Linked DNA regions of Schizosaccharomyces pombe. Changing the gene in region 1 together with any one later gene gives a genetic interaction. Each region holds a gene or a part of one and is shown on either strand. Other genes may lie near its edges.

Region 1 (7,262 bases):
AATTTTTGCACCATGTCGTCCGCAGTCACTCCTTCCGACCAAGGCTTATTGCCTCGTGGCCCAATTGCTTTAGAAGAGTTTGTTAAACCGTTTTGCGACCGCTTTGGTCTTACCAAGTTACCTCGACACATGCATGTTATTTTGCTGAGCGCTTTGTTTTATCAAATCATAAACATCCTTTCGCCAGTTATCTCTAGACATTTGAGTACCCATTATGCCAAGTTATCGAAGAAGACTCGGTTGAATTGGGACGCCCACGTTGTCAGTTCGGTGCAAAGTATTGTCTTGATTTGCCTTGGGTATACTTGCTTGAAGGAGGTCAATGCATTTCCCGATAAATTATTTGGATATTCTGTTGTGGCTGGTGACATATACGCCTTGACTGCTGGATACTTTGTATGGGATCTTTACATCACAGTTCGTTATGTTCACATTACTGGTATTGGATTTGTCATTCATGCCATTGCTGCTTTGTTTGTTATTACTTTTAGTTATCGACCATACCTAATGTATTATGGCCCTACTTATCTCTCTTGGGAACTTAGCACCCCTTTTCTCAATATCCATTACTTCTTAGACAAAACCAACCGTACTGGCTCGAAATTTCAAATGATTAATGGTTTCATTCTTATTGTGACCTTCATCTGCGTACGTATCGCTTGGGGATGGTTCTCTGCTTACAGCACTGCTATTGAAATTCTCAATCATATCAATGTTGCTCCTTGGGCTTTGAGTCTTTTCTACCTTGCTGCTAACATGTCTCTCAATTGTTTAAATCTTTTCTGGGTTTCCAAAATGATTGATGCTATTCGTCGTCGCGCTCATGGAGAAAAGAAAAGTACTCCTTTGCAAGTTACATCTGAGTATGCCAAGAAAAACATTTGAAAGTATGTGTCATTCTCCACATTTGGTTCTTTGAATAGGTACCTTCAATGATTTTTATTATTGAAAAAAATAGTATATTTTTTCCCGATTTATTTATGAATACTTGGCTTGGGATTTAAGTCAAATACTTTGGTTTTTTATATTAATTAGAGCTATTTGATTTGACGATAGACGTTTGTTTTGATAAATTATTTGATTTGAATTCCTGTTCTTTGATGTATCTTCCATTCTTCTTGGCTATGTATTTATGAGACTTTGCGAACCTCTATTCGCTCTTCATAAGGCTATTGATTTCTAAGCAACCAAATATTTAATTCTTTTTTAGTCTCCTTATACATCACATTCGCTTTATCTCTCATCTTTTAAATTCCGGATGTAGTAGAATTATTCCCTTAGTGAATTTCAGGGTTTACTTATATACCTTTTCTAGCCTTGTTTGGATTACACGTCTTCTACTGTTCCTTTTTATTGAGTTCTTAATTAACCATAATTCATTAAAACGATAATTGCTGACGGTGTAAACTGTTGAAAGTTGTCGAGTAATAAATCGCATTAACGCTTTTAACATTGTAATAGAAATATGATAAATTATTGTTTTTGTACAAAACTGTCTAAGAAACTGTTGCACATTACTTGTAAATGATATTCTTGTTATAACTAAAGCGTTTATTACTTATTATGCCGCCAAACATGGTCAGTGAAGGAAGGCATTAGCAAAGAGAAATGAGTTTGTTTAAATGAAACGGTTTAGGTTATTCTTTATTAATTAACTAGACCAGTAGACTTTACGTATTTATTTCGTATGTTGTATTCATATGTATATTTATACATACATAATTTAGCCTTCTTCTCAAGTTCTTCCAAGTTGAAAAATGACCACTACGTTTTGCAATGATAGAAATTTAAGACTCAGGTAAATAAATAAATTGAAAAATAATAAAAACACAATTAACAATTACTACAGTAGGTAAAAAAAAAGGCGAGGGAAACAACTCCTCATTAATCACCGTTTATTAATTTTTATCCAAAGACAGCCATGATAGTTTTATACGGTTCTTAAAATCTATACGCGTAATTATGTTCCAAACAAACAAAAAAGTTCCCAACCGGATTAAAAAACAAAACAACTGTAAACTAGTTGTTTTCGAGAGGTAAATATTTTAATGCCTTGTTGCCTGTAAGCGAACTGAGTGCCCGAATTCTTTGACCAAAGAAATAAAATGTGTAAATAATAAAAGGAATACTAATACTAATGAAAGCCATAGTTGCAACAGCCCATTTGACGCTCATGTTATTGAACATGATTTGACTAACATGGGCGAAAACAGTAGCCCCAATAAAGGAAGGAAGAGTAAAAGCGGCAACGGCTGAGCCAGAAAGCAAAGGGTAAGAGTCAGTCAAGTAATTCAGAATGCACATCCAGTTATGACCATTCGCAACTGTTACCATACTATTACCAACAATCGGAGACATCCAGGGGAAAGGTGGATGACAAGTGAATGCAAACAAGAACATTCCTGCAGGGAACAATAACGTAATAAACAAAGCACTGGTAAATCTAGCTTCGGGACGAGCAACACCATTGTTTTTTGCTTTATCTCTGCGGAAAATCCAATCTTGAATTGGTTGATACAAGAACAGGAGAGTACTAGCAACAAACCCAGATAAATACGTACAACTAGCACCCATTTCCGACATTTTATAGGTGTCGTAAAACACGGGCCAAATAGCAGTCAAGAAAAAATAGGAAATACCATAAGCGTAAAAGTTGTATAAACCCATTGAAAGAATAATGGGTTCGGTAAGCATCATTCGAAATCCCATGGTAGTGACGAATTTACATTTCTTCAAAACTTCCTTCAAATTGTTTTTAGGAATTCCTTCTACAATTCGGCCCTTGGCATTTTCATATCTTGTAATAACTTTAATGGGTAAGGTTTCAGGAATAATTAGAATCACGATAAGGAAAAAGCCACCAACGATAATGTTAATATAATAAAGCCAACGCCAGCCATACTTGGCATTAATGTCTACTCCTGTAGCCATTGGCGCACCAATTGCACCTCCTGCACAAGCCCAAACAAACAAAGACATTGGAACACCAGCTGTGTCTTCCGGGAAAAGATCTGGAATACCACCTGCAACGTTTGTCAAAGCAGTACTACCAGCAACACCGATGATGAAATGGGAAATAATCATTTGAACGATGTTACGGGGTAGAGCACACGAAATATTAAAGACTGTGTAAACGAAAATGGAACAAAAGTAAACGGGCTTCCTGCCACCAATGTCAGACAGCGGGCCCAAAAACATAGGACCCAATCCACTACCCAAGATGTTCATACTTAAGCACAATGTAGCTACTTGAGCAGACACATTAAATTGGGCCATAACACTGTACTCAATACTGCCAAACCCATTGCTTGTCCAAATAACATAGATCTGCATTAAACAAAACATAAATACAATACTCCAACGTTTGGCCCAATGCCAGTTTTGAGGGTGAGCCGGGTGATCAGAAGAAATTAAATTTGATATGTCGATAACCTCGGGCGATTCCTCTCTCTTTTTTTCATCATATTCAGAATTGGTTTCATGAATTCCATCTGATTGAGAGGAGGCAGTGCCTAACTCCAAATCCTCTGCAACATTTTCATGTTGATCCTTAGAGGCCGTTTCAGACGGAGAAAATAAACTCGCAATTTTACTGGCCATGATTGTTTTGCCTCACAAGAAAACTAGTACTTTATTCCTTATTTACCCTTATGAAGCTAAGCTCAAGGGGTATAGAAAAATCAACTAAAAATAAAGGAAAAATAGCTTGTTAAGGTTGATAATGAAAATTCCATTGGTCCCTGCGTTCAATATATGTATTCAAACATTTTGTTCTTCACGCACATTACCGCCGGAACAAGATTCCGGTTGTTCACTAACTGGCAATATCATATTTGAAAGCGCTATTCTTACAGACAAACGCAATTAATGAGAAACATCAGAGTTTGAAAAGCATCGTTCGGCAAGCGAATACCGTCGGTAGTCTGTAGCGAAAGTGTTAAGAATTGTGAAATTTTTAGTATGATCATCGAAAGAAAGGAATTCATTTTTAGAAGAATTCTATCGATAAGTTTAGAAGATTAAAAATGCATGCTATTGAACATTAAGGGAAATGTAGTAATGGGTGCTTGAGATTGCAAATTTTTGGCAGATAAAGTGAGAGAACCTCTTAACAAAAAAGTGTCCCAACTAAGCATCTCTTGTATCCTCTTAATTTTGGTTTTAATTGTTAAACTGAAAATTGCTAGGAAAAGAGGTTTGAGTCTGATGGATCCATTTAATCCCCGATGAACCTACTTACTACTAAAAAAAGAAAATAATCATGGAACGCTGAACCGTTTTAACCAAAATGTCAACAAAAGGAGTTTCATTTGATTCGGGACCTTCCTTTAAATTATCAGTTCATCGGGTACAATTTGAAGTTTGATCGCCCTACCAAGTTGGCAAATACCCAGAAATAAAGATTGTTAAGTATTTTCTTCTTATTCAGTAAGATGATAAGTATTCTAAAAAGGCACAAGTTTTATAAACGATGTTACATCAATAACAATTCAATCGTCTATTATTTGTTTGTATTTTTACAATGTTGTTGATGTTGGTATTCGGCACGCTGTAATGTTTAGATGCTAGCGCGCACAGACGCACGCAGTTTCCCGAGATTGTTTAATGAACCATTTTATCAGATGGTGTTAGTACGTTAGTGAATTAGGTTACGCTTCACTATTTTTTTATCGTGGACTAGTTTAGCAATGTAATAGTGCAAATACGGTGTGTTTTGATTTACGTAGCATATCTTTGTAGTGGCTTTAAGTATTGTTATAATGAGATAGATCCTAATGAGGAAAAGTTAGAAATATGGATTGAAGCAACCAGATAATATGAATTTTCTTTTCTTTTTAATTCTTTTTTTTTTTTTCTTTTTTTTTTTTTCTACTCTTTATTTTTCTTGTTTCTTTTGTATCTATTTTGACAAGTTCACGTATGAAATCTTTTGCAACAAAAAATATAAAATAGGATAAAATTAAATCTAGAAATTTCTTTTGTCTATCTAATCTTACAGTTATGTGTTATTTATTTATTTATTTTTTCAACATCTTCAACATACCAAAACTTTGCAATGAATAAAAAATGAATTCATTCAGCAAAATGGTATAAGTAGATAACAAATGTAGCTGAGACCCAGGTTTGTTCATCAGATAAAAATTAATTTTGAAAAGAACATACCTTAAGGTCAATGTTTATTTTCAAAAAAAAAAAAAAAAAAAAAAAAAAAAAAAAAACCTAACTGTATCGTTCTCGTTAATCGTTCAATTGCAATTCTTGATTGCTGCAAGTGATTCCCTAATTATTTACTACAATTGAAAATGCCATCACTCAATAAAATTACAAGCTAAAATAAAATGAAAAACTAACTAGTAGATTACTTCACAGCAGCCAGATTTTTAAAAAACAAGATTTCCCTGGAGATCAATTTCAAGTAAACAAAGAATATAATTGAGAAATCCTGACAAATAATAGTATGATTAAAATATAAACATGAACTGTATGTGTCTTGACAAAGCTGACTTCAAAATTGAGGATTCACAAGAGTAACAGGAAGTATTAAGTCGAAACTCTTTTTGTTGAATATTCCCCATTCAAAACTCCTTGGGTTGGGAAATGAATACTGTAAAACTTGCTTTGTTATTGGCAAATATTATTGTTTTGGCTACTCGCAGTTTACAAATTAAGCAATTTTCTCTTTACCAACATTATCCAAGAATACTATATATATTATTAATTACTAAACTCAATGTCTACGGCCATACGTAGGCGAAAACACCAGTTCCCGTCCGATCACTGCAGTTAAGCGTCTGAGGGCCTCGTTGGTACTATGGTTGGAGACAACATGGGAATCCGGGGTGCTGTAGGCTCATCTTTTTTTGAAACCAATATGAATTATTTTCATGTTTTTTTTTTTCATTCACGCCAATTTATTTCCTTGATTGCAATTGAACGAAGTGATTTGTTCGTGAAGACAAACTGTCTATAAACCATCAAAAACATCAACTATCTAACTTGATGTTAACTTTGCTTAACCGTTCGTTTCGATCAATTGCAATGCTTTCCCCTTGATAAATTGAATTAACAATGCATTTTTATTCATAGCGATTGTCGGCAATATGCACCTAGCTAATGTTTAGACCACTTATAGCTGGCAGCAGACTTATCGATCAAGGTACAAGCAATGGGTTAATACTGTAGTTTACCTTGTTAAAAATCATCTTAGCAACAACTCGTTTGACATTCCCAAGATAGCTACTTTACTATTATATGCAATTCGTAAAGGAAACGCACCTAAACACCTAACGGTCTTAACTCCTAACTAATTCTTTTTATCAAAGTAAATTATTTTATAAAACCAAATGCTTGAAGCATGCAACCAAACTACTGTTCTATTACCATCATCTATTCGTAGGGTACTAGAGCTGGCATAGAGCGCCCAACGTACACCCACATACAACAACCGCTATTATAAAATAATGTTGGAAAAATGGATGAAAGGCGTAAGTGATTATTTTTTAATAAAAGAAATTTCCAAAGAGAAACGTTTAGTATAATTAATTTTATTGGCGAGTTTTTTGCTCTTATTTCAAACATAAGCTTACATGTTCAATCAGGATCATCCATATTCTCAACCAACATTCCCTGTAGAAATGAACAACTTTATGGAAGATGTCCATACATAGATAAGGGGTGTTTTTTTCAACATAAAAATCAAGTATGTGAAGTTGAGTTTTTTTATATGTTTTTGATAGGTTCACCTTTGTTTTCTTTTCGCTTTATAATTATTGCTTTTATTCTTTCTTATTATTTTCTTTTAAAACATTAAATGACTGACCAATTCTCTTTTTTTAGGATAATGCACCGGCATCTTCAAAACCACCTTCTGCTACTGCAATAGATCCACAAAACTCTGGCTTTTCCACCAAGCTCAGTATAAATTCGCCATCTTTCACTCCCTTAAAGTTGTCGAAAACCTCAATTTCAAGTGCTTCCAATAAAGAGTCCGTACCCCTCACTAGGCCAAAATGTATGCGACCTTGTTGATGTTATGTACTAATCATTTAGCCTACTCTTCAGCTCTTTCCTCTGGAAAAAATGGTGCTGCGGCCCAACAGGCAGCCAATTCTCCTAAAACGGTATCTTTAATGACCTCTAGTTCTAAAGCTGCAAACGCCCTTCAAACGCACAAATCTTCGTTGGCACGAGCTGCTTCAGCAGTTCCCTTTTCTCCCTCCAAGGCCACAACAGTATCGTTGAAAGAGAGTGCATCCCTAACC
Region 2 (7,763 bases), 2.1 Mb from region 1:
GAAGATGGTATGTATAAACTCTCTATTATTCTAATGTTAAATACTTACAACTGCAGCTCACGAAATAGACAATGAGGATCTTAAGAATAAGTTGGCCAGCTCGGCAATACTCTCACGGTGCATAGAAGACATGCATGACAAAAGTAATGAACATGCCCACTAACGGCTATACGCAAACTCAAAAAATTACAAAATTTTTGGAATAGCTCCCTCTGGGTGAACTCAATTAAGAGAACCCTACAACTGTTTACTTAAAACACTGCACATTGCCAAATTAGAATTATAGAGTAATGTTGCCGTCGTTGAACAGAGAATTCTAAATTAGTTTCCTCATGTCGAATATGCTGAGCTATTATGTCAGTTATCCTTCAGACCAAATTGTTTTGACAAGGTACCCAAAATTAATTCATGAATCAATGTAAATGAATAAATTAAGATAATCCTGCATTTTGTAATTTATCTTTTAGGTTAGATATCTCTTCTTCCTTTTGAGCCAATAGAGTCTTTGTCTCTTGTAATTCTTTCTTAAGAGGTTCTACATAATATTTAAGTTCCAACTGTACGAATGTGAGAAGCTCCCGAATCTTTTCTAAACGTGAAAGATGAATGCAATTTGTATCGTCGTGGTAAAAAGAGTCATTATTGTCAGTGCCTTGAGTTTTATGCTGCGAAGAGTCGAATACGATAGGCTTGTAGGATGCAGATAGTTCATTTAATGAAGACATAGGTGGTTTGTCATTATCAGGAACTTGGAATTTCTGGTTAGTGTTATTCAAAGTAGTTATACTATTGGGTTGTGAAGGTAATCCGATATAAGCAGGTGAATCATTTTTTGTTGGGGTTCCAGGTTCTGTTTCGGAAAGTAAAATCGGATGCCTTAAAGGAGATGTTATGTATCCAGAATTTGGGGAAGTTTTTTTAGGACTCAATTTGTTAGCATCAATGGACATAAGAGAGATGCCTCGTCTTTTTGGAGATAGAGAGTTGACGCTAGAGTAGGATATATCTTGATTGTTCCCCGTAGACGATTGTTCTTCTCCTTCGAACCACTGCTCAAAGCAGGTGCTCATAGGAGTGCTGATGACTTGCTTAACTTGGTCTGATACTTTGCTTTCATGACCAGTATCCTCGTTTAGTAGTTTTTTATGCAAGAATTCATCGTAAGATGGTATGAAGCTGTCAATAGATAAATCTATTGAGCCATTAGATTCATTATTAAGCTCGCAAAGCGCTTCGTCTAATTTAGAGATTCGCGATGCTTTCTGAAGCAAGATTTCTCGTTGGTCGTCTATTACTTTTGTGGGCGTAGAGGAACGCAACGGATACTCCATTTCCATATCTTCATCATCTGTATTTTATTTTATTAACTTATTAATCTTCCATTAAAAACACACGGCATTACATACCAACTGAAATTGTAAAGTCATTACCCAATTGCTCAGCAAATATTTTTGTATTTTTGTTAGCAGAATCCATTTATATAATAAAGAAAAAAGGTTGAACAAGTGTCATAAGGATTTGACAAAAAACACAAAAGTACCAACTAGGAAAATCTGCAATTCTTAGTGTATTTAAAAACTTCCTAAAGTAGGTCAACGTGATTATCTTGAAACAGTGAAAAGTTCACTTCGCTTTTCACAACTTTAGCTTGTTTATTCGAGTAAAGATTCAATTTGTTTATAAGGTGCGATTAGTGGAACTAAGCAACTCTCTTTATGTCGATAAGTCGTGTACAACTTTTATATACTTATGCATATTACTATATGTTATTGACATTAAAAATAATGGTCATATAATGTACTGTTAATTTTTTATTAATTTCACTTATAGTCATCTATCAAAGTTAGAATTACATAAATTAGAATAATCCAAAAAGACATATTCAATATCACCAAGTTGAGGAAATTTGAATAATATGCCTTCAGTCCAGGCTAACAACATACAACCTCTATCCAGTGCAAATATTTTGGATGCAGTATGAAGTGCAAATAGTCGTAGGTTAAAATCTAAATTCATGAGGAGTTTGTATCAATGCTTGAGAGAGTGCGCATATGAGACTCTTTTAAGTATTCATTCTATCAGTAAAACACATTTAATCAATACCATTCACTACATTGCTTTTAAAGATGTATTTTTGGTATTCATAGTTACAACAAATATCAAATTTCAGTAGTTGTTAAAATCATATTTTAAGAGCTACATTAATTCATATTTCCTAGTGGTGTTCAACAAGCTTCTGTAGCTCAGTCGGTGGTAGCATCCCTCTCATATTATGACACAGGGGAAGGTCGTGAGTTCGAGCCTCACCAGGAGCATTTTTTATTAATTTTTTCCTAAAAAACAATAATACATTTCAATTCCAACATTTATTAGATATAATTAAATAGTTCAGTACTAGTCCGGACTTGATTAGAATGTGTATGCATTTTAATAAAATCATGTCTATTTATTTAACAAATTAGCATATCTTAATTTATTATTATTGCAGCGCAAGGCGAACAGTACTACATAATTAAAGATATTTTACGTGTATAAGTATGAATGAAAATGCTTTTATTCAATATATTATCGTATAACATAAAGGAAAAAGAAAATAGAATGACGATAGAATTTCTGAATAAAAAGCTGAAAATTAAATAAACCAAAACCCCAAACGAAATAATAAATTGAAACAGTTGAACCTCTCATACCTTGAGTTCTTTAACGCTAGCACTATGTTCAGAATCCGATTCATAGCGATATCTATTTGCGACCCATCTGGATTTGGGAATTACAATCGTACAGATAATGGCGAAGATGGAAACACCACCCATAATGACAACGGCATAATTGAAAGAAGGACCTGTAACGGGATAAGTATAAGGAGAAACATTAACAACAAGAGCAAACAAGTTGTAAACCAATGTAATGACCAAACAAGGCTTACTTAACCAACCCAAAGACCAACGGCCTTTTGGGAATTTATCGCGTGTAATAAAGAGGCGGCAAAACGCCAATACAGCATAAGCAGCAAAACTTGGTGCACCAGCGGCGGAAACAAGGGAGGTAAAAGCAACTGCACTAGGAAGAATGGTGCAAAGTAAAAGAGCTGAAACAATGTAGATAACAGTGATAGCATTCTTTGGTTGACCGGTTTTACTTACTTGACTAATCCAATTCGAAAAAGGAAGAACGCCATCACGCGAGACTGCAAACACTAATCGACTACAAGCTAAAACTGAAACTACACCGTTCAGGAAGATTTCGAGGATAATAACAACGTTCATAACCACGTGTCCGCCGCGTCCTAGAAGATAGGAGTAAAAATTGACAAATGGTTGAGGAGAATTGTCGTTGTATAAAATAGCTGTAAAAGTATCAAGGTCAGGACAACAGAAAAGATAAAGGATAGCAAGACTAAAAGCAACGATAAAAGATGTTACGGTAGAATAAAAAATACCGCGAGCTGCTTTAATACTGGCATCTTTAGTTTCCTCGGCAATATGACCAGATGCATCGTAACCCACAATGACACCAGCAGTAGCAAAGTAAGACAAGCACCACTGCCAGCCCTTTGGAACGATTTTTGAAAGTGAAGCGATGGGGTTGCCGTTGGCATCATCAACCTCCTTGATATATCCAGCCTGGTCATAAATGGTTTCCGTAAAGACCCATTTGGCCGACCTGAAGCCATCAGGTTTTTTAGATGTAGCAACAGGGACCCAAATAATATTCATTACATAATCGATAAACATCAATAACATTGATGCTTTAAAGATCCATTTGTAATAACGAGGTGGGACTTGATTAAGAAGGATAGTAAACACTAAAAGCACTTCGGCTACAATCCATTGAACAGCACGAAATTTAACGTCACTGTCGTTAGTAGGCCAAGGGTTATTAAACGTGCTAACTTCAGCAAAGATGAAATTGGCAGTAGATTGAGTGATCGATGCGACAAATGTAGTCCAAGCGGTAGTAGACCACCAAGCAACTAAGAAACTAACAAAACGACCGAATCTTGGACCAGCAGATTCTGCGGCCCACAAATAGATAGAACCTGCGGCAGGAAGAGCAGAACAAATTTCTGCTAAGCATGCGGCAGTAACGATTGAACAAAATCCAGTTACCAACATAGCCGACCAATATGCAGCAGGACCACCAAATGAAATACCCCAACTAAAGGTCAAGCGAACACCACTAACGACATCTAAGGAAGCAAAACTGGCAGCGAAACTCTCAAAGAATTCAAAAGAACGATGAAGCACAGGTTGATAGCCCATTTTCCGTAATAACTCATTATCATTATCGTCGTCTGTGACAGAAACATCTTCAAATCCTTCTTGAAAGACATCGGGCCTTCTAGCAGGGTCGATGGGACCAGCATAGAGCTGAGGTTCTGCTTTCTCCTTGATACTGGAAGAGCCTGAGGAGGTTTGTCCAAGCTCTGGATCTTGATGGCTTATTTGTGAAGAAGGCATGGCGAAGCAATTGTAATAATAGCAAATGAAAAAGTCAGAAAGAAAAAGAAATTTTCAATCGTTCATAAAAAAACCTTATAAATAAATAGATTGAACTTCTTGCTGGATTATAACAAAAGAGCCCACTTAAAGGCGATAAGTATTTAGTAAATAAATGTGCCTTTATTTTTAAAAAAAAAAAAAAAGAATGAACCTCTTCAAAAGGACGAGAAAGGAAACTTATCGTCTTTTTAACAAAATCTGTCAAAGATTATGCGTAACCGATTTTTTTTTAAAATTCAGTGAGGTCAATTATAACAGCCACTTTACGAAATACTGTACTGTTCCAACACTGGTTTTTTTTTAAAAGCAAAGATTGAGATATCGCTAACAAGCTTCTCAAATAATTAAAAGAAAAGTAATTTGCAAAAGTTTTAAGAAAAATCAGACTCGAAATTTTGTTATTATATAACCGGTGTTCCCGGGTGCTTGAACCCGGTTGATGAATAAAAATGTGTCTCACACGTTGGTGGCAGAAAAAGGCAATCTGACATAAAACGGGTGTTTGTTAAATCAGAAGAGCTCAAATTATCGTGGACGATGGAAATTTAGCTCGATTTAGGCACTTAATGGGTGAGAAATACTTTTATATGCCAAATCAACCTAAGGCGAATGAGGAAATTTTAGCATCATTTTAAGCTCGGTGCTTAGCGAAAATAGTCAACAATTTAACTATCGTATATGTACATTAGGTGAATACATAGGCTGTTAATCCAATATATATTAATAACCTTATAATACAAATAATTATTTCTCTTTTTAATAATTTACTTGATTGAACTGAATCTGCAACAGCGTAAGCTATCTCGAATTCTACAAGGGCAGCTTTGGTTTCATATAGGGCAGCAGGTATCCATTACCGGTACGCCGTTCTGTGATTTGCAATTTTGGAGTACCATCACAATGTGGAAAAAGATAAAAAGTTTAGGTGGAATGCAAGTAGGCGACAATTTATGTCGGATACTGGTGATACAGGGAGACTGAGTCAGTGCAACCTAGTTCCTTGTGTTAAATGTACATTTGTCATCACGTGGCACCACGTTTTATGTAAAACATTTAGTCAATTTATTTCTAGCATGTGCGGGTTTGTGGATATCCCATTTAAGTAAAAGAAGACGTTTACATGAACACAAAATGTTGTGATCTTATGCTAACTTTAAAAGATTATGGATGTCAAGAAAACTAGTACTAAATCAATTTTCAAGTTCTCACTATTTAAAGCGTTTGAGATCTCAGCTCCTTTTTCTATCCTCTTAATGTAGGAAAACTTAAGTGTCAGTAGAAAACATCACATTCAAATTCATAAATGGCACCAGTATTTAAGTGCCCACTTTTTTGAAGAAAAAGCACAAAATGTTTCCTTAAAAGTCCTTACTACCAAAATAGAAATATCGCATGTTTGATACACACTTTCGTAACGTTTACCATCACCACTTGTGCAAATCCAGCAAAATCAATTTCACCCCACTTTTCCATATTCTTTCAAGTATTTACTTTAACTACTTTACAACAAATTCCAAAAACTTGATACCTCTGTTATAAGAGCACGCCTACATGTCGACTACATCCTTACTTAAGATTCAAACGTACTGTATTCAGTTATACACAAAACATTCATCGAATAATACCTGAAAACCCATTTATAAGTATTTTCATTAGATTCTAATATTAACAAAAACGCCATCACATAGCAAAATATATCAACTTGTTACCCTCAGTTGATGAGAAAACAGCTATGCAGCCTCAGAAACATTTTCATTTCAAACATTCGTTTCATTACCGGTTAACCATGTTGAAGGTTAACAACCCCTTTTTAAATATTATCATGGAAAATAAAGGAAAAAAATTGTCCTTTTTCTTCAAAATAAGTGACTTAAGCGTATTGCTCACGAGCTTCACGAGCAGCGGCAATCATGTTCTTCAAGTCAGCAGTAGTCTCAGGCCATCCACGGGTCTTCAAACCACAGTCAGGGTTGAGCCAGAGATGATCCTTAGGAACATGCTTGACAATAGCATCAATACGCTCCTTGAACTCGGAAACAGGAGGAACACGAGGAGAGTGGATATCGAAAAGACCGGGACCGATGCAAGAGGTATAGCGGCTAAGAACATTCAACAACTTCATGTCAGACTTGGAGTTCTCAATGGAAACAACGTCAGCATCCAAACGTTGAATGGCATCGAAAATGTCATTGAAGTCAGAATAACAGAAATGGGAGTGAATTTGAGTGTCATCTTGAACAGCAGCAGTAGCCAAACGGAAAGCATCGATAGCCCATTTGAGATACTCATCCCACTCGGCACGACGAAGAGGAAGACCTTCACGTAAGGCAGGCTCATCACATTGAATGACTTTAATACCAGCCTTTTCAAGATCAAGGACCTCATCTCTGAGACCAAGAGCAATTTGTTGAGCTTGGACAGAGTCATGAACATCGTCACGAGGGAAAGACCATCTAAGAATAGTGATGGGAGCAGTCAACATACCCTTCATAGGCTTAGAAGTAATGGATTGAGCATATTGAGACTCCTTAACGGTCATAGGGGCGGGACGATAAACATCACCGACAATGATAGGAGGACGGACACAACGGGAACCATAAGATTGGACCCAACCGTTGACAGTAAAGACAAAGCCCTCCATTCTTTCACCAAAGTATTGAACCATATCGTTACGCTCGGGTTCACCGTGAACCAGAACGTCAAGACCAACTTCCTCTTGGAATTTGACAACATCAGAAATCTCCTTACGGATGAAGGCATCATATTCCTCTTGAGAAATGAGACCCTTAGCGAATCTGTTTCTGGTTACACGAATTTCCTTGGTTTGAGGAAAAGAGCCAATAGTGGTGGTAGGGAAAAGAGGAAGCTTAAGGGAAGCTTGTTGCTTGGCATAACGGGTCTCAAAGGGACTCTTACGTTCATGCATTTGGGGAGTAACCTTGCTTTGACGTTCACGAACGGCCTCAACATTGGTGATGGGAGACTCAGCACGAGCTTTGCAGTCAGCAGCGTTGGCCTCGAGTTCAGCACGAACGGAGGCAGGGCCGTCATTAGCAGCCTTAGTAAGAATAGCTAATTCAGCACACTTTTCAACAGCAAAGGCGAACCAACGCTTAATTTCAGGATTAATTTGGTCTTCGCCAGAAAGGGAGTGAGGAATGTGAAGAATGCTGGAGGAAGAAGCAACTTGCACACGCTCACTGCCGACAGCGCTAATAGCCTTCTCAATGATGGCAGTGGCCTTTTGGAAATCAGTCTTCC

What was found.
Region 2: mutations in bsu1 (region 1) and thi9 impair growth when combined (synthetic growth defect), as found in Schizosaccharomyces pombe (one study listed by BioGRID).

The regions. Positions count from the first base shown.
Region 1 is NC_003424.3:3,546,490-3,553,751, reverse strand, and holds bsu1 (vitatmin B6 import carrier Bsu1), read right to left. Parts: upstream 3,719-7,262; 5' UTR 3,601-3,718; coding exon 2,020-3,600; 3' UTR 1,685-2,019; downstream 1-1,684. Other genes in the region: TLC domain-containing protein Tlc4, read left to right, coding at 13-885; poly(A)-specific ribonuclease complex subunit Pan3, read left to right, coding at 6,473-6,485, 6,600-6,700, 6,838-7,012, 7,051-7,262.
Region 2 is NC_003424.3:1,479,531-1,487,293, reverse strand, and holds thi9 (plasma membrane thiamine/proton high affinity transmembrane transporter Thi9), read right to left. Parts: upstream 4,876-7,763; 5' UTR 4,461-4,875; coding exon 2,685-4,460; 3' UTR 2,542-2,684; downstream 1-2,541. Other genes in the region: F1-ATPase chaperone Atp12, read left to right, coding at 1-7, 57-163; SPOM_SPAC9.11 (uncharacterized protein), read right to left, coding at 432-1,348, 1,407-1,476; homocysteine methyltransferase Met26, read right to left, coding at 6,373-7,763. UniProt on the Schizosaccharomyces pombe protein: Thiamine transporter involved in the cellular uptake of thiamine. Pyrithiamine, oxythiamine, amprolium, and the thiazole part of thiamine have been shown to be also substrates of thi9.